Linked DNA regions of Lepisosteus oculatus. The protein of the gene in region 1 interacts with the protein of each later gene in a pairwise test. Links are inferred from orthologs where the notes say so. Each region holds a gene or a part of one and is shown on either strand. Other genes may lie near its edges.

What was found. The genes of interacting proteins can lie anywhere in the genome.
Region 2: the proteins of lmo2 (region 1) and signal transducer and activator of transcription 1-alpha/beta interact in a two-hybrid assay, tested with the Homo sapiens proteins (2 studies listed by BioGRID and IntAct). The two-hybrid records come from large-scale screens. The link is inferred for Lepisosteus oculatus from reciprocal best matches to the Homo sapiens genes LMO2 and STAT1.
Region 3: the proteins of lmo2 (region 1) and hnrnpm interact in binary tests that used the Homo sapiens proteins (3 or more experiments, as listed by UniProt). The link is inferred for Lepisosteus oculatus from reciprocal best matches to the Homo sapiens genes LMO2 and HNRNPM.
Region 4: the proteins of lmo2 (region 1) and tal2 interact in a two-hybrid assay, tested with the Homo sapiens proteins (2 studies listed by BioGRID and IntAct). The link is inferred for Lepisosteus oculatus from reciprocal best matches to the Homo sapiens genes LMO2 and TAL2.

The regions. Positions count from the first base shown.
Region 1 is NC_090716.1:11,136,386-11,144,037, reverse strand, and holds the start of lmo2 (rhombotin-2), read right to left. Parts: upstream 3,069-7,652; 5' UTR 2,924-3,068; exon of another isoform or gene 2,612-2,923; 5' UTR 2,409-2,611; coding exon 2,368-2,408; intron 71-2,367; coding exon 1-70. UniProt on the Homo sapiens protein: Acts with TAL1/SCL to regulate red blood cell development. Also acts with LDB1 to maintain erythroid precursors in an immature state.
Region 2 is NC_090707.1:26,783,774-26,791,540, forward strand, and holds the start of signal transducer and activator of transcription 1-alpha/beta, read right to left. Parts: upstream 3,003-7,767; 5' UTR 2,954-3,002; coding exon 2,913-2,953; intron 1,178-2,912; exon of another isoform or gene 1,001-1,177; intron 1-1,000. UniProt on the Homo sapiens protein: Signal transducer and transcription activator that mediates cellular responses to interferons (IFNs), cytokine KITLG/SCF and other cytokines and other growth factors.
Region 3 is NC_090724.1:6,497,982-6,505,054, forward strand, and holds the start of hnrnpm (heterogeneous nuclear ribonucleoprotein M), read right to left. Parts: upstream 3,003-7,073; 5' UTR 2,784-3,002; coding exon 2,746-2,783; intron 1,964-2,745; coding exon 1,794-1,963; intron 1-1,793. Other genes in the region: ras-related protein Rab-11B-like, read left to right, coding at 4,527-4,566, 6,783-6,978. UniProt on the Homo sapiens protein: Pre-mRNA binding protein in vivo, binds avidly to poly(G) and poly(U) RNA homopolymers in vitro. Involved in splicing.
Region 4 is NC_090698.1:64,085,973-64,093,375, reverse strand, and holds the start of tal2 (T-cell acute lymphocytic leukemia protein 2), read left to right. Parts: upstream 1-4,401; 5' UTR 4,402-4,667; intron 4,668-7,403.

The DNA of each region.
Region 1 (7,652 bases):
GATGCTCTGCTGGCACCCCCCGCACGTCAGGAGGGAGGGGGGCATCTGCAGGACCTCATCCACTGGCTCTCTGAGGAGGGAGCAGGGTCCGTTCGTGAGCAAGAGAGCCAGCAACCGATTGCCACACACATCGCCAAGAACAGGGGGCAAACAGACACAGCAACTGCACTGCGGTGAAAAACCTTTTAGAAACCACCTGGGTAACAATTCATCTAGGTGGTTTCTTGTGCCCCCGTCTGGAGGTTTTGGTTGTGTTTGCTTCCCAGTTTGGACACTTTTTTTCAATTAGCTGTCAAACAGAGGAAGCTAGCTGAGAAGCCAAAAGAAATGTGCAAATATAATGACAAAAAGGTGGATCTTCAGACAAAGAATCTGCACAGCCGCTAAAACACACTACTATTGAAATGAGTACGGGTGTAAGGGGTATTGTAATTGTGCTATAGTTTCAAAAAATAATCTTTAATTTGTACATGTAATCAGTACTCTTTGTAAAATAATCCTGGAAACAGAAATCTGAAAATCAGGTACGCTAGGCTGGCTGCTAGGATTTGGCTGCTAGCAACTACATATACAGTCTACATATACACTGAAACAATTTTGACTGCGCTTGAAGAAGTGACTTTTAGAAACTAAGCATTTTTAAACATTATGAGTATCAGAATGTTGAAATGTTGTGAAGTTTTCTTCATGTCAAAAAATGTCGTCACCCAGAGGTCTGGCAAGCAGGCCGATTTGAGGTTAGATGATGGCATACAGGCATTGTTGTGAACTTTACAGATCCAATCAGATGATGCAGCCATGATCCTGACTTCAATACCTTGCCTGCCTTTGTGGAGCTAGCATGTGTTCATCATATTCACACTGATTTTTACTAGGCACTCTATAATAGTATAATTTCCTCACATCTCTCTCACTGGTGACCTTTCTGGTGACATTTGCTGTAGATTATGCATTACCATCATTCCCCAACAGAGGGAGCAGCTTCCCACGAAATAAAAAAACACTATATGCGCAGTGTATGCCCATATATCTGTCACAGGGCACAGGGAGAAGGAAAAACAAGGTTTTGTGTAAAAATAAGAGGTGAGTGGGGAATACAATTGACCCTCATTTCACACACATTTTTCTTAAAATATATTTTGCTCCTGCATCATCTGTTTAAAAGCAGCAAGGATGTACTGTATATTTATTAGGTTATGACATTTCTTTGTTTAAATAATAGAAAGAATAGCTACAGTTATTTACTTAATATATACCTAATGTATTGTGTATACGATATACAATAAAAGTGCAAAAGTAACATTCTTTTTTATCTGAGGTATATATTTGGCCTTCCATGGTTTAGATTTCCCCAGTACAGCACATCTCTGTATTGGTGTGTTACCTAGAATCTATTAAAAGAAACTTATCAAAAGTTATCATATAGTCAAAACAAAATACAATTAATGCATAAAAATGTGGAGTAACCCAAACTTTACTACCTGAATTTGCACACTTACAGATTGCTGTCTATCAACTCAAAGGGCATGGGTTCTACACATCTTTTGTTAGTAAGGATTGAATGAGTATTGTCACTTAATATGCATTATCCTATTCTGAGTACTTAACTAAAGAATGAGCTAGTGCTAGTAGTGATTATTACATTAATGTCTTCTGACACTGGGATCGCAGTAGTGATAAGAGAGCTAGTGAAAATCTACATCTCAAATAGAACAGAAAACCTCAATAGTCTTTTTTTTAAACCACCTAGTATACATTATCGAAACACTGCTCTTGTAATTTCTTTACACAAACTAATTGTCAGTGCATTTTAATCTACGTCATTATGCTGTTTTGCATTGCCCCTTTCTTAAAAGGCTATTTACAATTCATATACCTGTTGAAAATGTGATAGTTTAATTACATCTGGCGCCTGGTTCTGAAACTCGGCTTACGAAAGCAAACAGTTCACAGAATGCAAGGCCTACTGTAAAAGAAACTATCGCCACAGTCATTTCATTACTGCCAAGAAGACTTAAACATCAAGCTTTATTTGCCTCTGACTCAATCCCACAAGTGAAACTAATCTTAAGTGACATTGCTTCTAAATTCTAATTACTTTTTAGATCTAGAGTTGCATGTTTAAGATCACAAGAGATTTTACTCAACATGGCCTCTGTCTTTGTTAGATATATAAAGTTCAGTCTTAAATTATTTCGGATTAATGGGAAAAAAAAGCTCTAAAACCCTGGTGGTCACAGGTATGAAAGTGACAGATAGTTTGGATGTTGTTTTGGGGTAAATTCTTTCCTTAAAAACAAAAAGTGCACATGCGTGAAAAGAAACACTGCAAGTCATTAGTTTCAAAGGCATCACCATTGCACTTACTCTGACGCCTCCAAGCTTTTCCTTTCAATAGCAGATGACATTCCAAGATGTTCCTTGCGGGCAATGACGATGGCATCAAACACCTTTTACTACTGCGTCGGGAACTTCGGCTTTTATAGAGGCTCCTGCTCCTTAATCCGGCGGCACGTATGCTTTATATCCCCACTTCCGACTCCTCTCGCATATTTCTTATGACAATATGATTTTTCGGCAAGAACTGCACCTGTTCATCTTATTCTATTTTCTAAAAAAAAAAAAACAGCACCAAAGGCAAAGACCGTGGAAATCGCGTTTACTTGAGCTGTACAGTTCCTTCCTACAATTTATATATTAAAACATACATGTAAGACCGCAGACGGGATCCTTAAACATAATTTACAATTTTCGATATTAGTAATTATTATTATTATTATTTCCTGGAGATCATAACATCCCATTTGCTATACTGTTGTCCTTGTGCTTACGGCTCAAGTATTCTTCAGCATTAACAGTGAAGATAGCAGTGAATATCAATGGCTGCTTAAAAATATTTCTTATTCCCTCTGTCATCCCTTACCGTCTCCCTTAATCTGCGGTTAGTCGCGGGGACGGCTTTTGTACGGCAGCTCTCTGTACCGTAGGTATTTTTACATAGCTCTGCCCCTTGGTTTCTGGTTTCGTTTCCTCTTTCCTGCTCACGACTCCTTCACAATCGAAGGAAACGTGTTTTAAAGAGACAGGGGCAGCTCATTTGGGGATGTGAAAAAGCGTAATGCAAACAGCCCGGGGCTGCCCAGTTGAGAGTCTGCGGAGTCGTGAGGGTTTTTTATTTCACTGCGGAAAGAGCTTGTTTTTAGCTAGACGGTTTGGCTTAAAGGGGCGTAAAATGACATTTTACCAAGAGGGTAAAGTCGTGAAAGGCACCGCATCACTAAACGGTGATACCCCCTCCTCGCGAGCACTTATTTCATCTACATAATAAGCATCTACTTATTATAACATTTTTCTGTCTCTCAAGACCTGCAAACTCTTTAATTGTCTATTTCACAATGTACAAAAAAAAACCACATATATGTCTGTGTGTGTCAGAGAGTGTGGGACAAAATATTTTTCATTCTCCTTTCCCCTGATACCTAGATACAGAGATTCTCACTGAAGAAGCCGATTATCACTGGATGGTTGGCTTGTATTGAAATGGAAAGGCGATGCTCGTAATCTTAAAATCACTTGTTCCATTGCCTTATTCTTCTTGAAAATGAAAAGTAAACCTTTCTAACAAAATCTGTACATTCTCAGATGTAACGAAGTTCACCTGCTGGGTGCTTCCTGAGCAGAAGTAGTTAAGTTCATAGAAGGGACTCGCTGAGTTCTGAGTAGACGAAGGCAGCAATTAAACCCATTAAAAGTAAAGAATTGCAAAATAACCGTGGGGGCTTTCAAATGGGGAACAGCACAGAAGGAGGGTGCTGAAATTAAGCTCTTTCAGAGCCAATATTCAGAGCTAATAAGGTGATATTCTGCAATACAAGGACTAGTGTTTTTGCTGTTTGAGGTGGCTTAAAAATCTGTGTGCAATTGCAGTTTTACACGAGGCTGCATCTGAATCCCGTATTTTCATCAGGTGTTCAATTCAATTATTGTTTAAAATGCTTCTCCCCTTATGGAGGCAATAAGGCGTATTTAAAAAAAAAAGAAAAATCACTTCTCAGCTGCACCCCAGTCATGATTCAGGAAGAGTTCAACAACTATTAGGCCACAACTTTTATGTTGTCTAATAGTTTTAAAAGAAAAGACATATTGGGAACAATATTTTTCTATGTTTTCACTGCCTTTACGTTGCGAGAATTCCCTCATGAGTATTTAGTAATAGCTCTGATAGTAAAGGGGAGGTTGCACAAGTGAATTTAACATTTTTTAAGGTTTAATACCCTAGTTAACAGAAAGGATGTTGAGGCCGTATTTAAAATACTGTAGAGAGCGTTTTGCACAACAAAACACTGTTTCTCCTGGCCCCATCCATCCAACTAGGCATTTCAACGTCAGCTCTCTGAGGGTAGACTCACCCATGGGACAAACAGGGTGGCCAGATGGTCAACTAAATTTAGCTAAAGCAGGCAGACGAGGCTCTGCGTGTGCTTGAACTCTCCCCTCAGGAGAATGCACACGAACAATGGGTTAACCCCCTCTGCACTTGTTATTCTGAACCCCACCCTGCTGCAGCTGTTAAAAGCGTTCCTCTTATCTGCTGCCAGGGCTGCTCTGCTGCCTGATTCTAAGGAGGCCAGGGGCCTGCAGAGACACTGGGCTCTGAGATACTGTAACTCCCAGAGCTCTGTGAAGGAGATATACTGAGCAGGGACCAGGGCTCCCTAAAAGATTTGGATGCTGGAAAGACATCACTTGGAGTTACACTGCTGGTTTTTTTTATTTGGCTAACTAGCACATAAAAACATGACCTGGTGCCAATCACTCAAATTCATTTTGCACAGACTGGTGCTACTATGATTTACATCTGAGTGAATGAGAGGAGGATGTCAGTGTCACTTTTGGTCACTTGCCCTTTTTCTTCTGCTAGGGAGATTTCATTTCCTCCATCTGTCACAGTGAGCTAGAGATTTAGTGTAGTTATTATTTACAGGAGTTCCTTTATCAGTCCCTCACAAAAGCAAGTTACAAATCTCTGCTTATGGAACTGGTCTGCGTGGTGGTAATATCAACAACAGTTTGTCTGCGTACAGTATTTGCTCAAACTTATTTGCTTGTATATGTTTCTATTTATTTTATTATCGAAAAATATGATGAACATGATTGACTATAAATACTAAACTATAAAAGAAAAATATTACTCGATGCATGTGTTTTTTTAAATAAAAATGAGGTACAGATTTGGGGTATATTTTATATGTTTTTGGTGTCATCGTGATTAGCTGATCACTTGTGACGGACTCAGATGACTGTTAGATAATAACCTCGGGGTTGAGGGAGCTGATAAGACAACCTAACCTATTGGACATGAAGGACATGAAGTAAGTTAAGAAATAAGAAGACAGAAAGGAACCAGTATTGAAAAGAACAATGCCTTTGTGCCGTTGGTAAGTTGGCATATGGGCTGAAGCTGAGCACTGCCACTTGCCTTCTGGGTTTCAGCCATTTCTAAGCTGCCCAGACTTCTCTTGCTGCTCTTCCTGCAAGCTCATCTTGAAGTGATAACATTCCAGCAGGATCGTGCACGGCCTCATGCTGCTTGTGTAATCAATAGCTTTGTTGTGTGACGAGAATGTTACAATAATGCCAGACTTCCCAGACTTCCCAGCTGGTATGATATGCAGTATCTAGGACTCAGAAGCCAGCAAACAGACACATGCTTGAGCAAGCTCCATGAGGAGAATAGGTCAGAAACCCACAAAACAATATCTACAACCTGGTGTAAAGAATGCATGGCAGACCTACAGCTTCCAGACTTGGCCACACACACTACTAGCCTGTGACTTCCACAGCAAACCCCCTGGTGATCAGTTGTGATCAACCCTGCAGATGACAAATGTTGATCAGAATAATGAATGAAACTGTCAAAGCACCTGCCACAAAAAAGACCACTGTCATTTCCCTCATTCTTTGCATTGTTATGTAATACATTTCTTCTTAGGCTCAGTACATGTGAATAATGCCAATTCTGTGTCCAAGTTTTAGCCCAAATGGAGACCTGGTGTTTGTCAGTCTCTACAGAGTCTGTATAAAAATGGCAGTAATAATAAATGAGTGAGAAAACAATATTCTTCATTAATTACTTCAACTTAGAGAGCAAATGCTATTGTTTCAAAATGCCTTAACCTATTGTATATGCTCTCACTCATTGAACACCTGTGACTTGTTAACAATTTTAAAAGATTTTTAATCGAGCAGTTCCTACCCTTTTATAGTTGTTTCCGTGTGCATTGTGTGTTACTTGCCAACAAGACTTTTGAGTAATTTTGAGTAAGTGAGTAACGGAAGTGTCCGTTTTCAACACAAAGGAGATTTTCTTGACCATTTTTGTGATTGACCAGTTATAAACCCTGTCAGTACAGGAATGAAAGAGTTTACTATTACCTACAGATGCCTTTAGTTATGATTTCCGAACAATCTCAATTACCATGTCGGTTCCATGCTGGAGCCAAACTTTAAACAACGTGTACAATTCCAGCAGGACAAATCTGTGTATATGTCTGTAACAGGTATCATTGTATAATTATATTCCACAAGCTTTCCCCCCTTACAATTATCCCGATAATTGACCTGATGCATAATATGTAAACAGAAAATGAATAAAAATATGGGTGAATTAAAAACAGATTGAGCAATTCCGTTAGAAGACACAGCTGAGATTGCATGGTAATGGAGAGCCGAAAGGCCTATTGCAGAATTGACCAAACAAATCTGTCCACAACGGTTGTTGCTGACACAGCTTGTCTGTATCACCCTGGAAACAGAACTACAGTACCTGACTCAAAGTAAATGATTCAACACTTGTTGTCCTTCCTTCCCCTTTCTTTTGGCACTGAGAGCAAGTATATTGACTTGATTTCAGATTTCGTCTACAACACCCGAGTCAGCGATGCTTTTCAGTTGTTCGGTATTTCTGAACTAGGAATTAATGTTCCTTTTAGGGTAACACCTTCAGTTAATAGGCAAAAAGAGACAGTGGCCTACTGACATACGTAAAGAGGATTCTGAACATGATATCAATATCCCTACTAGTTCTTCTATTGCCACAGAAATACTAAAAGCTGTGGTTGTGTTACATTAAAATTATTCAAAACAAACTGTAAGAGTCAGGTACATATCAACAATGTTCCAGTCCCTGCCCATGTCAGACATACAACTGGACCCACCCCAACATTTTTTTCTAATTGTTGAATCAGTTCTATAACAGGATTTTGAAACTATGAGATTATATATATATATGTTATTCCTTAGCCTTCCCGCTTCTAGCTACTTGGAGTTTAACCTAGATGTGGGAAAGGATTAAGAAGCAGGGAGACGCTGAAATGCTCAGCTGCAGAGGACAGATCCAGGACATTATTTCTATCCACTTTCCAGGGAATTGACTGGATGAACCAGGATAAACAGGAAGTGAGCGAAGACCGAACTAGCAGGGGGCACTGCTGTTTGCTGTTCCGACTTCCTGCCTGTTGCGCATCGCCATCCTGCTGAGCTCTGATAGGACGACTCTGTCCAGATGGCCCAACCTGATAGGACAGGCTGGCCACTGGTGGGCAAAACACCGCAAAACCTCAAGGCTCTTCATCACAAGTTTGACTGGGGGT
Region 2 (7,767 bases), on another chromosome or scaffold:
GACTAGTAAATGTTTGCGCAATTAGGACAGTACAAGTAAAAACTTGTGAATAAAAGGTTCTTCACACATGCTTTTAAAATTGTTGCTTAACAAATGACTGCCCATGTTATTTAATGGTATACTTGTGATGGGCACTGAAATAAAATAAAGCCAGTTTTCACTTTCACAAATACAGTAGATTAGGGGTCTAAAACCTTAGCTCCCATCTAGTAGGATTCACCATTAAATATCAAATTTGTGACACAAGGCCTTCCATAAAATGAGTCTGATATCTCAGTACTATAGCCTAGGTGGGTCTATTCTATAATTCCAATTGCGGAAAGGCCAACTGGAAATTTAGGCTCTAGCAAATACAGTAACTTCAAATATAACTGCAGGGCAATCTGGGACTTCTCATTTTCAGAAGTCCTTGCCGTTTATGTAAGGGCAGTATAAACATTTTTGAGACCTGATCAAATCATCAGCAAAATACATTAATACAGTTCGAAAATTGCAAGAAGTACATTTACTTAACTTTTTATCAAAATAGAGAACAGAAATATTTATGAATATCATTTCAAGATTCAGAAAGATTGAGACAAAAATATATAAAAGAAAATACGATATAATTACAACATATCATTCTTTATATTAACCACTACTAGTATAATTAAATAGGACTGTGCTGTGATAAACTATGGTATATCATGGAGTGTGTTTTTAGATAACTTTATTAATTACCAGTGTACAGTACTGTATGATCTCTACAGTATACCATATAAAAAAATTATTATAGAATAAAACACTCCTATTGTCACTCCTGAAGTTGTGTTAATAACTACTTAAGGTAAAAATATATACAGTATATATAACCTCATCAAAAACAGTATAGCAATGACGACGCCAACAGTAATTTCCAAAGCAACCGTACTGTATGTAAAGGGTCCATCACTACAGCTACAGAGCCTCTCCCGACTTCCTGTAAATAAAACTTCGTATTTAAATCAAACTGTTTACTAACCTTTAATATTTGATCCGTTTAAAATAAACACTTAACAAAACGTCGAACAGAAGAAAGGACATTCACTGGTCTCAACCTTGTAGACTTCAGAAAAATGATTTCTCTCACTCAAAACACCTCGAAAAACGAAACTAACTCTGACGTTCTTATTAACTGGATGTCATCTTGCCAGCTGACCAGAAACAAACAATTGGCATGCCTCTCAGCCAATCACAAATAAGAGTTTGCTCACTAACACCCAATTCCTCTTCGAAAGCCAACCAACGTAAAGAGGAAATTGTCTTTCCCACTTTTTTTTAAAGGCTCAGGGAGTAGGAGCTGTTCTAAACATTAGTCAACCCTCCCTCGTAATTTCCCCAGCCTGTAGGAGAAATAGAAAGTTTACTTTCCCATGAGATTTTGTGAGACGCAGAAACCTAGACAAATGTGCATACTTACGGTGTAATTTAGCAAATTATTTTTCTTTGACAATTTACAAAAATTAAAATCCTAATTGTAAATGATATTGTTGTATTAAAAATATATCAAATAATTTGGAATTTGGAATTTGGTAAAAGATTTCATTGTACCATAAGATTAAGCATAAACATAAGTACATAAAAAGGTTACAAACCAGAGGAGGCCATTCTGCTCACCTTCATCCAGGTGGATGCTGCACATTGGTGGTGGTGGAGGGGAGTCCCCATTACCTGTAAAGCGCTTTGAGTGGAGTATCCAGAAAAGCGCTATATAAGTGTTAGCTATTATTATTATTATTATTATTATTATTATTATTATTATTATTATTATTAATTGTATTGTCTTGCTATGTGATCTGCAGATCTCGTCCAGACGTTTTTCAAAGAATCACAGAAGATTTGCTTCAATTATATAACTGGCTAGCCTGCTCCAGAAAATTTTAACACATATTGAACAGACACCAGTTTTCACTGTCTTAAATGTACATTCCCTCAATTTCCACTTGTACCTTCAGGATTTTGTTTCACTATAGGTCTTAGATTAAGCCCCCAAGTGGACTCCTGGGTTCAGGATTACAAAAACCTGTAAAGAGTTATCTTATAGTGTACAAAACACATCTAGTTCAGAACTAAAGAAATTTCAGACTGAAAAAGGATCCAGTATGTTTCTTTGCTGACATTTAGTTACTTTTGCCTGTTAAATATCTTTACTTATTTGCAAATGATGCATCATACAGTACTTTTTCATTCCAGGAAATTACAGTTTTGCTGAAATAGTTTAAGAAACAGTGTTTCAAGAACAGTTTTATTCTAGAAAACACAGCTTGACATTCGAAAATCATCTTAACTGAAGTAGTTAATTAAATCAAAATATGTATAAATTCAGAAGGTGATACAAGACAATCACAAAACTCTGCAAGTAATGAGAATCTATCACAAAGGACTAAAAGATGTACTTTAATCTTACTTTTAAAACAGCGAAAATCTCTTCTGTAGCCGTTTGCAGATCAATCTACAGTTAGGGATTTTAAAAGTGAATGTATTGAAATTGAAAAGATAATGCAAAACATATACATCGAAATGTTTACTCCCACTAGTTGTGCCCATTGATTCTGAGACTGAGCTTACATTTTTTAAATGTTTTTCAATAATTTGTCAAGTCACAGTTTTGGGGGAAAGACGACAATATAGATATGTGTTAGTGTTCTTAAATATCATGAGAAGTATTGTGCTAGGAAAGGCATCTGACATCTTCAAATAATCGGCGACGCACGAGAAAATTAAAGGGGAGCATCCGTGAAAGAAAACAGGACATTCCTTTATCAAACACTGATATCTTAGAACAAACTGCTGAGTTACAGTGTTACAACCATTTCTCTCGGATCTTAGGAGTGGCTTGATCAAATAATTGGATTATTGCAGGAAGCAAACCTGCTTTCATCTGTAACCTTTACCTGTTACCAACATCCTTGCTTGAAAAAATGAGGCCGTTCATCTTTCTTCCTTTAGCTGCGGTACGCCGACCACACCCTTAACCCTATGCTACAGCTGTATTAGCTAGAAACGCCTTCTGGAGAAGGATAGCTTTATTCCGCTAGCTGTTTCAGGGAGGAAGGCCGACTGGCATAAGAGCTGTATCACGAGGTTTCCGAGAAACCGAAAGGATCTGGGAGATCACTGCATTGAAAGGAAACAGAGAAACGAAACTTTAATTGGAGCCAAACGGTTTTTTTTTATCTCTTTCTGATTGTTAGTCTCAACTTTACCAAGCGGCTGCTTTTGCAGCTGCAGCTTATTTTCTCCCTCCAGGATTTTTAAGACTTTAAGCTTTTAAGACTTTTAAGCTCTGTGGTGAAGCAGAACGAGGAGCGTTTTGTAAAAATTAAAATATGTAATTGTTTTTTTTCCCCCATTGTTATAATGTTTAATTGTTTAATTCACAGCATTCCTTTACGGATATTAAATCGATTTTTTGTTATCGTAATACGTGTTGACTTTTAAATGTTTGATAGTAGTAACCAGCCGTAATGCTGCTGTAAAGATCTTATGAAAGCAGACCTGAGTTTATGAAAACAATAATTATCTGTTCTATATGTGGATAGAAGTAGGCTACTTGTGTAGTTGTGGCTCAACAATAATGGATTTTGATTGTTGTACAGAACAAGGAAAAGCAATGGCACGACCCGGAATTCTATTCAAACCCTTTATTTTATATGATATATAACGAATTTAATTGAAATAAATGAACAATTGTTCAAGTAGGTAACTGCGTCAGCATGTGTAGGTCGGAAAGGAACCAGTACTTTTTCTTCTTTTTTCAGCATGAACTAACCTTTACTTGTTCCCAAATGAACAATACAACGTTTTAAAATGTTTCTTTGTGTCTTAACTTAGTTTTGTAGTTGGTTTTATGTCACAGTAATCATACTGATATAACTAGAGAAGTGTAAACAGGATGAGGATGCATTTCTGTTTTTCCAGTCTGGTGACCCCAAAAGATAGTTTCAGAAAGCTGATGCAATCTTTTGGATTAATATTAAAACTATAACTGTCTCCTAATGAAAACTAATACGGTATCTGCATTACAGCCTGATATGCAAACAATGCAAATTTGCCTGATTCAGACACTATATTCTATATTCAGATATCCCAGTTCTTAAAAGTGATTTAATCCAAGAATGGGCTGTTTAGTATTGTATTTAGGGCTGGTGCTGTGCCAAGCCAGTTTTTCCCTCTTTTTGCCATGGATGCAGTTAGCTGGCTTCTCCGAGGACCAACAGCACCTCTATTCCATCTCTCTCCTCTCCCCTCTTCTACTATTGTAATTGGAATCACAATGTTACGTCACGCCCCCGGAGAACTCACCGCCCTTAATCATCTCCTTCACATTGCAGTTTCCAAGTAACTAATCAGACACCTTCTTCCACCTTTCTACTTGACAACCTGACACACCACTCCTTGCTTAACATTGGGTTTTACCTAGCTAGAGTTGTATTGTCCCCTGCTTCACAACATTTCTAGGTTTTTGGCTCTGATCCTTGACTTTGTCATCTGGATCTTGACTTAGTTATTGTGGATTTACTGGTTTTTGATCCTGGCCTGACTTCCTGACCTATGTTTTTTTTACTCTTGCTGGTACTTTTGAGTTCAGAGGATTCTGCTTAGGGCCCTTCTTCTGCACTGTAATGGTATACTGAGTCTTAACATGGACCCTGCAGAAGGTGAGGTATGGTGCTTTCTCAGCATTCTCATGCATTTAATCAGCTGCAAGTTTCTATCCAGCAGATAATGGTGTTACGCATTCCACTCGCGTCTCTGTTCCTTCCCGCATTCCCACGCGTACACCCTGTAACAAACGCTCACGCCGCAAGTAACACACCAATCACCGTTCTCTCCCGTCCCTATTTTAGTTCTCCTTTTTCCTCATTTCCCCGCTCACTATTGCAGATTCTCCTTGAGGTCCCTAGTGCGCGTTTTCCTCTAGCTTTTCTCCGGTTCCTGATCTCCTTGCTTGCTTCTCGTGTTCGATTTCGCCTAGTGTTTTGGATTGTTGCTTTCTCGTTGTACTTCTGTTTTCCGACCTACTCACCTGATTCCTGGATTTGACTTCGCCTTGTGTTTTGGATCATTGCTGCCTCTTTGACTTCGCGTTCTGACCTCCTCTCCTGCTTCCTCGTTTTAGTTTTTTTGCCTAGCGATTCAGCTTAGTGTTTTTCTCAGTCTCCGGAGTTCTGCACAGGATCCATTGACCAGATCAGCCCCATTCTGACAGAATACTGAGCCTATTCATGGATCCAGCGGACCATAACAGCACTGCTGCTTTTTTTTCCAACAGCAGTCCCAGGCTCTAGGACAACTGACTGCTGCAGTTCAATGCCTAGTGGACCACACCACCTGTCCCCCACCTCCTCCGGTGGCTCCCGTACCTGCTCCTCCCCTGGCTGCTGCTGCTTGCCTCTTGCCCCCTCCCATCCCGGAGAAATTTGAGGGGGACCCAGCTAAACTCCAGAGTTTAACCCAGTGCTGGATGGCCTTCCACCTTCGCCCGGATTATTTTCCCTCTGACAGAGAGATTGCCTTCATGGTCTCTCACCTCTCCGGTCGAGCCCTGGACTAGGCTACTTCCCTCCTCACTCTGAATCTTCCCGTGACTGCTGATGCCAACCAGTTTTCTGCTGCCATGCAGTCCATTTTTGGTCATCTCCACTCCCACCATATAGCCATCTCCTGTCTCGTCTCTCTCACCCAGGGTTCCCGGACTTTTCAAGATTATGCTATGGAATTCCACCTTTTGGCCTCCCAAATGCCCTGGAATGAAGAGGCTCTTATCCACCAGTTCTGCCAGGGCTTGTCTTCCGCTTTTCAGGACCACCTCGCATATCTTCCACTGGACTTTCCCTCCTTGGAGCATCTTATCTACCATCTGGCCGAAATTAATATCAGGCTCCAAGAACAACGCTCCCGGCTTCAAACCCCTTCTGCCCCCTCCCGCCCAACCTCCTTCTCTAGTCTGTCTTCTGAGGAGTGACACCACGACTCTCCGAGGGATGTTGCCCTTATTGCGTGGCAGCCGGCCATCTCCGAGCTTCATGCCCTGTCTGCCCTCCCTGTACTTCCCTGCCCTCTGACAAGGTCGGTATCCTTCCCTCTTCTGGCCTTTTTTTGCCCACACTGGTTTCCAGGGATGGATTCAAAGAATCTCTTCTGGCTTTTGTTGATTCAGGCACAGAGGAAAACTTCCTAGACTCCGGACTCCCACCACTTTTAATATTCCTTGCATCCCCGTTTCGCCCCCTATCTGCCTCCTCACCTTTGATGGATCCCCTCTCACTCTTGTTGAATGGGAAAAAATTCCCCTTACACTACGCATTGGCGCCCTCCACACCGAGAGCATTCCAATTCCTCCTCCTCCACTCTCCTTCCCATCCTCTGGTTCTTGGATACCCTTGGTTGAAGATGCACAACCCCATCTTTTCCCAGTCCAACAGCGAACTACTGGCCTGGGGACCCAAATGTCATCCTCGTTGCCTGCAGTTGCCTCTCAGACTTTCCTCTGTCCACATGACCTAGGATGAATCCATCGGGATTTCTTCTGCATATTGCGACTGTCACGCCCTCTGCAGCCAGAGGGCGCTCCTTCTCTGTCCTGTCCCTAGTTTCCAGTCTGCTGTCTTCCTGTCCCTCTCTTTCCCTTGGGCTATATATTTCCGGGTCTTGCACTCTGTCCTCGCTCAGCATTGACGTTCGGATGTCCTGAGACCCGCCTAGCACCAGGGCGCCCCACGTCCGCTCCCTGAGGGCATAGGTTTCTATACGGCATTCCTGAACTCTTTGCACTTATGAGCTTGGGCCTTTTTCCCGTCTCGCCGCTACGCATATGAGTCTTTTTCCGCTCTCCTGCTCCCCACGGTTAGTCCCTTTGGACGTCCGTGACAGCGACCTGCACCTTGCCTTCAGCAAGCAAAAAGCACTCTCCTTGCCACCATACCGTCTCTCTGATTGCGCCATTGACTTACTACCTGGAACCCTGCCTCCAAGAGGAAGAACCTACCCACTTTCTCTGAAAGACTCTGATGCCCTGGAGTTTTACATCCATCATTCGCCCTTTTACTTCTCCGGCCTGTGCAGGTTTTTTTTTCGTGGAGAAGAAGGATGGATCCCTGCAGCCCTGTATCGATTACAGGAGCCTGAATGAGATTACTATCAAGAACCGGTATCTCCTTCCCCTCATTAACTCTGCATTGGAATCTCTTCAGGGAGCCTCTGTCTTCACCAAACTTGACCTTCGGGGCGCCTACAACCTCATCCGCATCCGTGATGGTGATGAGTGGAAGACAGCCTTCATTACTACACTTAGTCATTATGAATATCCGGTCATGCCCTTTGGCCTGGCTAATGCTCCTATAGTATTCCAGGGCTTTATGAATGACATTTTTAGGGACATCGTTCAGAAGTACGTCCTGGTTTACACATTCCTGACAGATCTCCCGAAAAGCCACGGTAAAACGACGATCATGGTGGTCATCGACTGTTTCTCCTAAGCTGTACATGTTGTTCCTCTTCCAGCCCTCCCATCAGCAAGAGAGATGGCAGACCTTTTTGTCCAGCATGTTTTCCACTTCCATGGCATTCCGAAGGATATTGTTTCAGACAGGGGTCCGCAGTTCATATCTAGAGTTTTGGAAGGCTTTCTTCCAGGTTTTAGGGGCATCCTCCTCCCTCACTTCTGGTTACCACCCCGAAGCCAATGGTCAGGCGGAAAGGATTAACCAAGACCTGCTGACCTACCTGTTCAATTTCACCTAGTGT
Region 3 (7,073 bases), on another chromosome or scaffold:
CCTACAGTTCCCTACAGCGGCCCAACCACAAAGAGCCCATCAAATTAACAAACAAGCGTTAGCCAGACCTGAACCATCCAAGGCTGAAACAAGGATAAGTTTAAGAAGCAGCTTTACTTTGTAGACCTGTACCCCCAACAAATCCCTAACATGCGTCTGGACATGTACAACGTGACATCTGAAGAACATCTCTGCTCTGCGACATCAGCCAGTAACCACACACTGTGGTAAACCTAAAAAAAGAAAACGCAATTTAATACTACACAGAATGATTACAGTTTTACGCCTTTGGTAGGATCTTTGTGCTGCACAGATTTGTCCCAACAGCATGGCAATGAGATTTCAACATCTGCATCACAGAAAATGGACAAGAAAAAAAAACCACAGTGGACCTCCTCCTCTATTATGGCTTGGATAAAGGATCTAATCCAAGAGAACCCAAGCTGATTTTACAAAGGTTGCTTAAAGAATTTGGGCAATCACAAAACTTTGACAACCTTAAATACAAATGACATTTTCAAGAGATCCACATCAGAGGTTGCCCGGGTTCCAAAAAGCCTTTTATAGAAGGCCAAATGTATTTCCTAACCACATTCACTTGGTCATTTTCTTGATGAAAGCCAATTAATAGAAAACCACCAACTTAAACAACTGAATCATAAGAGTGATCTAAAGGCTCACTAAAGATTCAGCGTAGCTTTTGAAAATTTGTAAAACATCAAAATCGCCAACCTGACTTCCAATAACCCAGTCGATCGACAAAAAGCCTGCACCTTCAAGAGAGCAGACTGTGATGCTGACCCCTGCCGATAGTCGACGCACACTTAAGTGTGATTTCCCATTATGGAATACCTGCTATAAAACTTAAGGTAAACAGTGAATTTCAATATAGAATTTAGGCCTCACAATTTGCTTTCCAACTACAGAAAGTTGAAAGCTAACATCTCATCTCCGAAACACTCCATTTCCATGCGAGAAAACCAAGGACGTCTCTTAAATGGAATTCTCAACTGCCTTCAACTTGTTGAAACAAGATGGTTCCAACTCATAGCAATATCAAAGCAGTCTTCAACAACAAACCAGCGTTTTCCTTGAACCAAGTTCAAGATCTTAACCAAATCAGGTTGGGAGCACAACAAATCACTGCTGGTAAAGCTTTTAGAGCAGTCCAAAGCTTTGAACAATGTGTGCATCAGGCTCTTGGCCGCTAACCTTTTGCAGCTTTTGCAAAGCACCAGAAAGTAAGTTCTTTTGAGGCATCAGATTTTACATTTGATTTAAAAGTTTGATGCTGCATGCTTAGGTTTCGAAGAATAACCAGCATATGCAAAATCACCACTTGCAAAACTCCCTGTGCAAATCAGTCGATCCAGGAATGTCCACAAAGATCCTACTACATGCGCATAACAAAGCACGTCTAGTAAAACAAGACGCCCAACACACACAGGAATGATCCTTAATGTTCCAGGTGGGGGAAGGATACGTTTTCAAACATCACCCTCCTAAAACAATGGGTGCCCAACAACAGTCCATTACAAAACCGAAACGAGAAACGCCGGACTCCAGGAAGTTACGTGGCTGTGGTACCACCTTCACAAAGACGGCCGCGGTGTGGAGCCTTATGTTAAACTTTCTTTTGAGTGGGGGAGAAGGGGGAGTGCAGGAGATGTGACCACAACACCCGTAGCATGCCGTCCAGCGATAGCTCTTCAAGCACGGCTTTCTTTGGGGGGGGTGGGTGTAAAAAAAAGACTATCCACCCCCGTGCTCCTTACCGGTTCAATAAAAATTACCTTTCTCCTTCATGAGGTCCTTCAGCGCCTGCCACTTCACATCAAAGGGGATGTTGCTGACGAACACCCGGTATCGCTTGGAACTCCCATAGGGCTCAAAGCGACTGCCGCCGCCCCGCTTCTGCGGCCTCTCCTTCCGGCTCTCGTGGGTGGGCTTCCCGTTGATCTCGCTGCGGGGAGTCGAGAGGGAGAACTGGGGTTGGAAACAGTCGCTCGGGTGGCAGCAAACCAAACTCGCGTGGAGAACCGACAACGAAGGGACGATTGGTGGGGGACAATGTCTCTAGGGCAGACACCCCCCTCCCTTTGCCTCCTCGTGTCTGTTGCTAAGGGCAATGGGCCGACAAGGGCGATATTACTCGGGGTGAACATAAAGCCCCTGACCCCCCAAAATGGCGCTCAATTCAAGTGGAGTCCAAAGCAAACGCAGATGCGGGCTACTTCTGAATCACACTGGAAAAAAACGCCGGCTTGTTAAATATTTACGACACCCATTCGTCTTGGGCCCAGTTAAAAAAAACAGCGGCGGAGTTTGAAAGCAGATAATCGCCCACGTTGCGGCCTAGCTGCACTCTGCAGCCACCAATACAGATACCCCCCCCCCGCCGGCCTCGTTTTCTCTGCTTCTCGCGAAAAAAAGGCTAAAATTTACAGGGGGAGAAAAGCTATTTTCACTGCAGTTTCATAACGCTGTCTTCGCGGCTTTTAGGAGGGAAAAAAACTCGCCGGATACATTTCCACCGATCGGCACAACGCGAACAGCAACCTTCCGGCTAACTGCGTGACAGGGCTTTAACGTGGCTTAAGATTATAACGCAACGCGCATCACTTTCAATCACGACTGAAGATCAATCCCTCTCCTCACATTACACAGGGCTAGTCCGAGATACATAAAAATCACCACCGGCTAAGAAGAACAACAAAAACAAAAAAACAACAAGAAAGTACTTACGCCTGGGCTGGCTTTTCAGTTGGCGTTTCAGTCGACATTTTGGCGCAGTCAAGTTTTACACGTTGCTTTTCGGAAAACAAATGGGAAAACTGCACCCGGAGAAGAAAAGGGCAAATACAAGCTGTTTTTTAAATACGATGCCTTTCGATGTTGAGCTAATAAAACCCGGATTCGTAGTTTTATTTTACAGTTGCCCCCTGCTTAACCATTAGCACACACCACACTCGATCTCCTCCACTACTGAAATGGCGGCGGGCGAAGCCAGTCTATGTAGCAACGCGGAGCATGCCGGGAAAGCCTTTGTGTTTTTATTGTTCAATTTTTTTCTTCCGTTAAATATCTATTTTTTTTTAAAACAGAAATGAAATCGCAAACCAGCCGCCTCTAAAATAAATAAAACCTCGTTGTGGCGAAAGAATGGAAAAAATAATAATAATCTGCAGTGGTTTCGTCAAAACAAAACCTAAAGGACTGTTACCATAACAACGACAACTTTGCCTCTTCGCTTGCCTCAAAACAACCGCGCCTGACCCCATGTCTCAATTTCTCATCTTCTAGAACTGAAACCATCAGTTTTTCTTTTTCATTTCATGTTTCGGTAACCCCTACCTATGCTAAATAATTAAAAAGGTGTATTATGGCCTACTTTCGATACATTTTTAGCAAGTGGAATAAAGATTTATTGATCGTGCAATAAAGGTTTATTGAACTAGAGATGGTGTAAAGGTTGTGTGCAACATACATGGCTCTATCTGTCGTGGAGTGGTACGTCTCACAGCCATGAAATGCAATTTTATCTCAATAACTCTCTTGCGGTTGAACTGCTACATTAGGACCGTAGACAAATATCAGCACGTGTGTTACAGAACCCAGCCTACAAACAAGCACGAAGCACCACCTCTTTGCCCCTTTCGTGCCAACAATAAAGCACAAGAGCTTCAATTTGCCTTAAAACTTTCCAGCCGTGAAAGCGTGCTTTTCAAACACGAAGTAGCTTTGACGCAGGAAGAAAGGTTCGGTACTGACGGTTAGGGAAACTATGGAAATACAATTTACTGAGCTAAAATGAAGACAGTATTTTTCCTTGGTGCAAACTGCACGTGTTATTCTATAATCTAAAACACACATTTTGCACTCGTCGCTCCAGGCGTTGCTAGCGTCAGAGACTCTCCCGACACTCCCTATACAGATATACACTAAGGTTAGGGGTTACCATTATTTCTAAAATAAAAAAGAGGACACTCCGCCCGACGGGGAATTAGGAGGAGAGGTGGGGTCGGTGGCGCCGATAACATCTGTATCTATTATATTTATGGTTATTTGATTATTTTACATATATACGGTTATTATATCTATGTATTTGTATAGGCACGAAAAAAGGCCACCCCGTCCTCCCATAATTCCTAAGGGACGGAGATTTGAGGAGCAAATATGAAGACACGTCCGGGAAAATCCGGTGTGGTAACCCCGATAGACAGTATATCCCACGGCCCCACAGCCCGCTCGATTTTATGTCTCCCGTATCTCCTACGGAAAGTGAGGGGGCACCATCGTGTACAGTACGGGATGGGATGGGAGAGGAGGAACTCCTCCCCTTCTGCAGAGTCAGGCAAATCCCTTCTTCCTGCGGTCGGCTCTGTGACAGCCAGCCAGCCAGCCAGCGCATTGTCTCCTGCCCGAGTTCGGCTCCACTCGCACCCGGCATCGCTGCGGAGCCCACACCGCCACACCACACGCCTGCGCCGCGACGGGGGTCGGAGCAGCCCCGCGTGTCTCTTAACATGGGGAACAGAGACGACGAGTACGATTTCTTGTTCAAAGGTAGAAATCTGATTTCTTCTGTGCGATTCCGACACCCCCTCCCCTTGTGCTAACCCCCCGCCTCTCACACCGTGTGCGGCTAATGTGCGCTATGTATTGTTTGCAGGGTGTCCTGTAAAAAAACAACGGCGAGCCACTGCTTTTATTGATTAGCGACGCCTACCAAGAACGGTCTTGGGCCCTAAAAAAGAGTGTATAAAGTCCTCTGTTTGCGGCATTTGTTTAAGCAACGCATATATATATATAACGTAATTGCAAGCCCCACCAAAGAGCTGTGTCTGTATTGAATCACCCGTTCGCTTAAGAGACAGCTTATCACGTACAGTAGCGTTGAGCACCAAAGCGTAAATATTTTGTAATATTTTCATCAAGGCCTGAAAAGAGCTTTGAGACGGAGCCGTTCCTGGGTGTTTAGCGATATTGTCTATGTTTGCGGAGGAACAGCCATTAAATGTAGCGGTGATTTCCCAGATATCGGCTGTGCCACATGTTGTACGATGGCGCATTCGTTTTTTAAAATCCTTTTTTTTTGCACCGCAATGAAATATATTCTAAGGAAACCGAATTGTGATGGCAAAAAAACAGCGGTGAAGTGAGTAGGAAAATAAAAGATTTGCTAGAGACTTAAGTGACAAAAGGTGGATTTTTCTATTTGACATGGCTGATGATATCGCAGGAACCTGGCAGCAGTGCTGTCATTGCAGATGCCTGTACTGTATTATCCTGCTAGGATACCAGGATACCAACCTTGGACTTTCCAATATCTGGCATCCTCTTTCGTGGCCTTGAATTATGACATCAGTTACATTAATGCAAGAATACAGACGTTAGCATGCTTCGAAATGCAGCATTTGTATTTGATCTACTCTGCACATATTCATTAATAGAATATCACACTGTCCCGCTTTTGTTTGTCGATTGTTTGGTTAAAGGCGCAGGTCTGAAATATCACAATTCTGTTGCTATAGTCAGGCATATCGGTTCAAACGCGCTTTCGAAATTGCAGGGATCTCTAAACCCCCCCCTCGCCTCCTTCTTTGATAAACTCCCTGGAAACAGGAAAGAGGCCCAATACTGTCGTTTCAGATTTCCCATTGACCAGGTTATCAGCTTCCTGCAGCGTGATAGAACAGGGACCGTTTCCTGTCAAGAGCAATGAACAATGAGCTCTTATTCTTACTGCAAAACTGCAGTTCAAGCTTAGACCAGCTCCTCTGCAGCCGGGTTTTCAGGTTGGCGATCCTGCAGATTTTAATTTTGAAAAATACCACAATGTGCCTGAAGTACCGCTGAGGCACAGTTTCAGAGTGACACCTGACCATACAGCTGGCGTTGCTGGTCTTCGAGCAAACCCTGCTGTCGAAATGGAGGGGGTTCATTTCATATACATGTTAAAACTGGCAAACACTGACCCGTGGAAATCAAACAGGAGGTCACACGCCAGCCCCGTGTGGCACAGCATCATTTAAAACGTTGTCAGACTTCAGCGCATTTGGTTCCAGTATACTTGTTACTGAGAGCACACTGTGTGACGTGTGTCAGTAATTTCCAAACTGAACAGGACTAAACTAAACTCAGGAGCTCCTAAGCTTTATTTCACCTTCAAGTTTATGTACCCATGTACAATGAGATGCTTACTTGCCTGACGTAAAAGATGACATAACGTTGACACAGAAGGAGACACCACAAGTGACATCGCAGTCCCTGGAGACAGGAACAGGGGGAGCAGCTATCATTTTTAACCACCATTTAGATAGCAGCTGTGTGCAAAATTCAGTAGTGGCAGTATTTTGAGTTCAGCGCAAACACAGAGGGGTGTACGTGGGGGAGGTTTGAAGAGGTGGAGTCTTAGGGTTGTGGGGTAGAAGCTTTCTTTGAACCTAGGGGTCCGGGATTTGCTTGGATTCTTGTTCTCAAGGGGTTAAAACACACAGCCACTTGCTCACAGACACACATTTGCTCACCAGCACAAATGTTCTACTGTCTGTGCTGTCCTACAGATCCAGTAACACATCCGCCCCCCCAGCCCGGCACAGGGAACCTTTGTTCTTTCATTCCATGTGCAAATCTGGTACTCTTTAAGCATTTAATTGATCTCCAGGAGGCTGATCGGTTTAACTAATCGAGCCAATCGAGCAGTAGACAGGGAGCTCCTGGGAGCTGCGTGAAGCAGGGTGCACCAGGGTGGCCTCTGACCGTGTCTGTGTTGGCGGCAGTGGTGCTGATCGGCGACTCCGGCGTGGGCAAGAGCAACCTGCTGTCCCGCTTCACCCGCAACGAGTTCAACCTGGAGAGCAAGAGCACCATCGGCGTGGAGTTCGCCACCCGCAGCATCCAGGTGGACGGCAAGACGATAAAGGCCCAGATCTGGGACACTGCCGGGCAGGAGCGCTACCGGGCCATCACCTCCGCGTGAGTGTGGGGCCTGGGGGTGGGGGGAGGGGGGTCAGACAGCCACGGCTTCCTGCGGGAGCCACTTCTGGAGCAGCTCCGCAGTGCGGCTCCCT
Region 4 (7,403 bases), on another chromosome or scaffold:
GAATTTAGGCCTATAGACATCAAGGAAACTAAATAAGTTTTCCAAACAACGAAACATTGCCCACATAAATACACAGCAATTGCTTTCCAAAGCGCTGAGATGGAGTTCCGGTAGTTTCTTTTGGATTAGGGGCAGTGTGATGTATGCAATAAAAAAAATCAATTAATTTAAATACCCGCAAAATACTAAAACTGAATCAATTGTCAATGTTTATTTGTGAACATGTATATGCATACATATATTTTAAATCCCCCTGAAATGGTGTATTAATTCAACATTTTATAATACAAATGTCTTTTTTTGACAGTGGGTGTTGCATTGTGGCTGAACTGATAAGGCTTCTCCGTACATGCTTAAAAGGTAATCTTTCATTAACAGAACACTCCCGCTATCGAGCTCTTGCAGAGCGTCGGAAACGCTTATCTTCACAAGCCAGCATGCTGGAGTGAGCTCTCGCAGGAATAAGGCGAAACAAAGCGAGCCCACAGGCGCCGATTCCTGGCAGAATCCGGACTCAGAACCGTAAATAACTCCCAACTTTCATTTCTGATCACTGCGTAACACCACATGACTCAGTGCTATAGAAAAAGCCGGGATAAAATAGCCACCTTCTGTTGGAAGGAAACAAAACAAAAAAGGCATTGAAACACGGTCTAGTCAAACTCCACATTTCAACACAGTGTAAACACGGGCTTAATGGGTCCATGATTACCCCTGCTCAGACATCATTTTTTAGGTGTGTAAAAAAAGAGATTTACTGTGAGAACGGACAGTTGTACAAATCTAGCCTGTAGGTCCTTTTTTACACAACAAAGGTCAGAGCCGTTTATACCTCTTAACGTCTGACTTTACCCAGGACGGTTGATTGAATAGAATTATTCATAGGCTGCATGAGAATAAGATTTTGTTTGTTCTTGATTTTGGAAAAATGTTGATGAAACGGACCAAATTTGTTTTGTTCAACACTTGAAAGCTCTGCAAGAGGACTTTTTTCATGAATTTGTCTGGCAGATGCTTTTTTCCCAGGAATGACTCACCAATTTACACAGCTGGATATTTTTTCCGAAGCATTTTTTGTGAAGTACTTTGCTGAAGAGAACAGCCGTGTCTCAGCGGGTTTTTTAAACAGGTCTGGAGCCCCTTCAACTAGGCCCATGTAGGAAATAACAGTGTAAAATTAAACACCCACAAGGCTCTCTTGAAACCACGCCACAGTTAAAAAAAAACCTAGTTCATTTAAAAGAGGCACAAAACAAAATCTTTGTTCCGTATTTGAAATAATGCCTTTGCAGTAAACAACATGTAATATCATGCTCAGTTTATGTTTTTCAGCTTCAGCGGGGCAGCAGAAGTTGTGGGAAATCCTAAAAACAGAAGAAAGACGTTTAAAATGTGATGCTAAGGCTTAGTGAATCACTGCACAGGCTATCCGGAGCGTGTGTGCCTCCCCAGTCGAGGAATATTCTTGGGATGAGGTGTGAGGGAAGCGATCGGACTGCAGGGAGTGGGAGTGTGTGTGTGTGTTGTGGGAGGTGGGGGGGTTAGAGCACCCCGATGTGAGATCAGGCCTTTTCAGAAACCGATGACCCGTTGGATAAGACTAACTGGCCTGACTTTCATTTTCCATCATCTTGAGCGTAACTCCGATGGATCAATTAAATGCACTGGAGGCATTGTGTGGTGGGCTGCCGAGTATTCAGGCCCGAGAGGAGAGGTGACTACCAGTGCAGGTGCAGCCTCTTGGAAGTGTAGCAGGCGCAGTGAATAGCTGGAATTCAGATCAGGCCCAGTGTGGCCGTTTTTCAGGGACTCAAAATAATCCCCCCAAATCGGATTATGTAAATCACTACTCAACACAGAGGGGGATTCTATGGAAGGCTGCGTCTTTGAAAAAACACTTGAAGGGTGAAAAAAAGTAACAACTGCCTAAACTAGACATTGTTTTTTTTTCCTCCTGCAGGGCCGGGTACAGAGCACAGCGGCAGACAGCGCAGCGAAGGGCGATAATATCCTGGGGTCCTAGTGCTAATATTATGAAGAGGTGGCTTACATGCCAGCTTGTGACCCCCAACATCATATAACTTTCCCCGTTCTCTAATTTATGTGAGCCCCTCAAAAGGCTAAACAGGATTATCCCACAGAGAACAATACCTGCATTGTTCACACGTCGATCCAGGTTTGGTATTTTTACCTTTTGTGGCTGATCACTCGGTCACGTTGAAATTATTTTGGACACTTCCCCCTGTTAACTTGGCGACAACTTAGGTGGGAAGAGACACCGGCAATATGTCCAAGAAATAGAAAGAGCAATGTTTGAGTCCGAAAAAAAAAAAAAGTGACATTCAAATCCAGAGTTAATCACTCGACGCTCAATGGAAACCTCTTTGGAGAAAGGTTTAGATGACCTGTTATTATGGTCATCTGGATTAGTAACAATTTAAAAACTTTGAAAGAATGAATGAATCCATACAGAAGGGTAGATGTTATAAAAGAGGACATTCATGCTATAGAAATCGGTGACAGAAGAGCAAGTCTAATCCAACTACTAACAGAAATACATTTTTAGAGCAATTTGGACTGAGTGAAGGAACTATTACTAGATAGGTTCCCCTGAACAAATGCTGAACTGACTACTTAATCATTTAACTGGAGAGACTGTTAATAGCATTTTACAGTTTGATTTTAAGGTAAGAAGATATGGGATGAATACAAGCCGGTTATTAAGGGCTGTACTATATTTTCTTTATATTATTTTTTGCAATTTGTCAAAAGTTAACAATTTCATTAGTGCTGTGCTTTGTACCAAAGAGAATTTAACCCATTCTATCCTATATATCATGGTCATTATTTCCTTGGATTTGTTATTGAACAGAAAATAAATAACAGAATTTGTTATTTCAGAACTGACTATCAACAGCTGGCGAGTTATGCCTCTTTCTGTCTCTACGGTTTGGGGAGACAGCTACATCTGCATCTTGAAATTGCAGGAAGTTCTTATGTCCCCCAATTGAACATGATTGTTTCAGCAAATCAGACAAGATTTTTGTTTTTAAAAAGGATTACATCAAACAGAAAACAATTCAGAAGAGGTTTACATTATTCAAAGAAAGCCTTTCCTTTGCTACAATCCATATAAATGGTTTTAGGAAAAAATGTAAGTGCATGAACAGATCAACTGCTTACTAGCTGAAATTAGAAAAATAATATAATATGGTAAATCAGCGTGCTGATTATGGTAATTCATGTTTCCATCTTACTTGTGAGGCTAAGCAAAACTATCATTTTACCATTTATTTCTATATGTTCTTTTTCATTTAGTATCTTGAAATGAATATCATGTGTAGCATATTCAATTCATCAGTGCAATTAGATATCTATCTTTTGTGAAAAGTGTCCATGATTTTCAATTACAGTGCTCCTGAGCCACAATTTACATTAAATCTACAGAAATTATATTCTAAATGATTTGCCTACTACATTCCCTTATGAGTTCAGATGATTAGTTTATAAAATAGTTGGGACTCTTGTTTGGCTGTTAACCAGAATAGAGTCAGGAAAGTCACTGCATTTATCAAATTTGAGAGACCTACCAGGACTGATGGTGAAGAAGTAAGTACTGCTCCAAGATGAGTCTTGTATTCTTGAAAAAGATTAAATGAAGGAAAAACTTTATAGCAAAAAAAAGCACAATTAATATCAGACTCACAAATTCTGCAATACTGATTGAAAATTCATGTTATTTTTCACGTACTGCATCTCTGATTCATATTAAGGAAACTAAAAGTACTATATGTATATAAAATTATATAATAAAATGTTGTACTGTATAAGTTTAGTAAATTAATTGTATGCAATATAATAGTTTTATAGCACACATTTTATAATGAATAATATTGCATTACCAGTGCTTATGGAAATATCATTTTCTGTGATTTCATCAAGGTCTTAGTGAGCTCTTTCAGTTTGCAGCACTCTCTGGCAAAAGCAGATTTCCAAATCAGATCATTTGGGGATTTCATCACTTCCTTGTAGATTATATCACAGATCAGTTAAAAATATTGAGGCATCACCGCCTTGATGTTTTCTTTGGGGATGTCCAAAAGCTCCAAATGAAAGCACGAATCTGGCTTTTATTTCCTACGTTTGTTTTTTTCTCAGATTTCGAGTATTCCATTCCCATTACTGACAGCTGCTATTGTTCGCTCCATGTTCCCGCTTTAAGTGGTATTTTAGGGATAATCGTGAGGAATCGTGCCGGTGAGTAAGTCCGGAACTGGAAAATAGCAGAGAAAGAAGCAGCAGGTGAAACAGTTACAGTGGAGAGCTGTAAAGTAATCACAGATATGTCAAAGGGATGTAAAGGCCACCTCGAAGGAAATGCAAGGTCTTGATTAATAATTATTATGCTGCACAGGACAACCAGGTGATGGCATATACTGAACAATGGGACGGACTTGCTATAAATTATCAGGGACAAACCCCAACGCCCCCCCACAGACACACACACCCGCCTACAGTTAGCGTCTCAGAGCGCTTGAGTGCGATCAGAGAGCAAGAGGATCTGTGTCTAATAGGAGCTGCAGAGCTGCTGAGTGCACACTGCCTAATGACTCAAGGAATTACCCTGTGCAAAGAAAGAAGTTCTGCTCATCCTCCAGCACTTGCAGGTGAGAGATTGGTGTTTTTCTGGCATCTAGTAAAGTATGTGTATTGTGTACTGAGGTGTCTGGTTTTGCTGGGGTTTTTTTTTTGTATTTGATAGGCAAAATAAATACATTCTAAAAGGGAATTATGTGATTTAGATATATGCAGTTGTGTGCTCATTGAATTTTTAAACATGTTTAAGTTGATCTAATTAACGTCACATTAGTAAATGTGGCTAAAATCAATTTTATAAATGACATGGTGGTTATCACAGGGTTGTTCAGGTTCGACACTATTGCAGAAGATACGTATAGGTGGTAAAGACATTGCCCTGTTAACTGCAATCATTATTAAATTACAACTTTATGTTTGAGCAAAGAGATATTATTCTTCATTAACTATTAGTAGTTAGATAGCTTTTTTTAATAATGGTCTTAATGTTCAAAGCTTTGGCAAGACAAGTTCATGTAGTGCATACCATTAAAGCATTATTATATCTAGATAATTCTAATAAATATTGTAGTAATTCTAGTAAATATTTAATCAGTTTAATTTTAGTATATGAATCTTATTTTGTCATATGAATTTTCCAGTCAAAATAGGATTCTTTGTAGATTTCCCTAAACATTGTAGGCAAAAAAAGATTGTCTCTTCTACTGCAATACTGGAATGCACACTTCTTATATGAAGTTATTTTTTAATAGGTAAGATTTTCCTTCCAATGTTCTTTTCGTTGTTGCTTAATTTCTTTGTATTGACTCTCCAGATCTATATCTGTTGCATTCACATTTCACTTCTAGAGACCTGCAGAATGCATGCAGACCTGAGATGTTAAACTGAGGACATAGTGACTCAGTCATTTAAAAGCCATTGCACAGTAAATAAGAATAGGAATATAAAACCTAGCACCCTGGTCAGCAGAGACCTTTGGTGGGCAGTGGCTCAAAAGGGGCACTTTCCAGGGCAGTATTTGTTCCATTAGAGTATCCTGGACCCGAATCAGTTTCTGTGTTTTTTCATTTTACAGGAAGTAAAATTGTGACTTCAGAGGCATTGTAATATTCACAACGTTGGCAAAAAAAATGGTTGTCCATAATTGCTGATTATGTTTTATTAACAGACAAGATATTACACCCTCTCTACTGAGCATATACTTTATTTTCCTGATATAACACATCTTAACAAGAGGACAAAGCAAATAAAAATATGACCATCTAATTACATGCAACACCAAATGCAATCTCTTTCTATCTTAAGAGGAAGAACTCACATGAGCGCACATCAAATCAAAGATTTTTTTTCCCCAAAAAGTGTCTATTGCGGGATAAATATTCAGGAAGCCGCTAGAAATTATATCCAAAAATGATCATGAAATTATTACTCATATACCCTGTATATTGTTTGTAAATAGGGTACTGGCAGCTTTGATATTCATCAAAACTTAAGTCGTACAACATTTACCGATGTAATTATTCTTGTGAGGCAAGACTCCTCTGTTATTGAGGCGTACGTAGAATGTACCCTAAGGAACTGGCCTTTTTGATAACCATTTACCTGTTCGTCTGCCGCTAGTTGGGACCCAGTTATGAAGCGATGTACTCCCTTTAGCTGCCTCCCAAAATTCTTTTTTTTCTTCGTCTTTTTTCTGAAGGCATGCTCTCCTGTTTCTGTGACTGAACCACATATATACTGTACAACAAGGAATATGCATGTTAGCTGTTTATATCAAATACCAAAAGATTGGCTTGTCTACTAAGTTAACGAAATGTTCTTAAGGAATTCTCAGTCTAGCTAAATAGCCATGCAGACAATAACGTGGCGAGTTCGTCGTTTTGCAAACTTAGAATAGGTGAATATACAGTAGTATTTCCTAAACACAAAGTGCTCAATACGACACCCTTGGTGTGTTACTTTTGTACAGTCCTTCTGAAAAATCTGTGTATCTTCTCACCGTTCAAAAATGTTTAACATGAACCACACAGGTGCAGTAGCCTACGTTGCTTTTCGCTGCTTTTTTACAACGAACAGGAGGCAGGCGCTTGTGCTCGGATGAGATCAATTGGGTGCAACATTTCTTTTCCCCTATCGGGAGATCCGTACTAAATACAGAAGCAGAATCGTCAAGAGGCGAAAAAAAAAATTAAATTGGTTGGACTTTTTTTCCTACAAGCAAAAAAAATAGCACTTGGGCCAATGAGGGCAAAGGGGAATCTGTCCTGCCTAAGTTGTTCTCTCAATTTAATTAGTGAAGCAATTTCTCACTTCTCCAGCTGATACCCTGTGCGGTGGTAATGCATAATGGCTGCTGCACAGAGGTTTTCTCATAAGAAAGGTTATAAACAAGAAGAGAACATTGGGCACATCTAGCCACTTGGGTAGTTAGTAAGCGCATTGATCTCATCTAGCCATTTCTTGAAAATAGCTAGGACTTCACAATATAGCTGGGCAGCTTGTTCCAGACTCTCACAAACCCTTCTAAACTGTCCTGTATTTGGGAAGCTTTTGGATTGTTATTGTTAGTATCGTGATGATGACAAAGCTTTTTTGAAAGTCTCCTGAAATCCTGTGTCTGTGTAGTTCATCTCTTACTTGGAAAGTAAAAACATTGGAGAAAATAACGTTTCGGAATAAATATTTTGCTGCTTCTCCTTCCTGCTTGTCAGCGTGGAATTAAATTATGCTTGTTCCTTTGCAACTCACTTCCTGATATATGTTACTCAGTGCTGGTTTCGATTGCATGTCCTAGTTTCATTACTAAA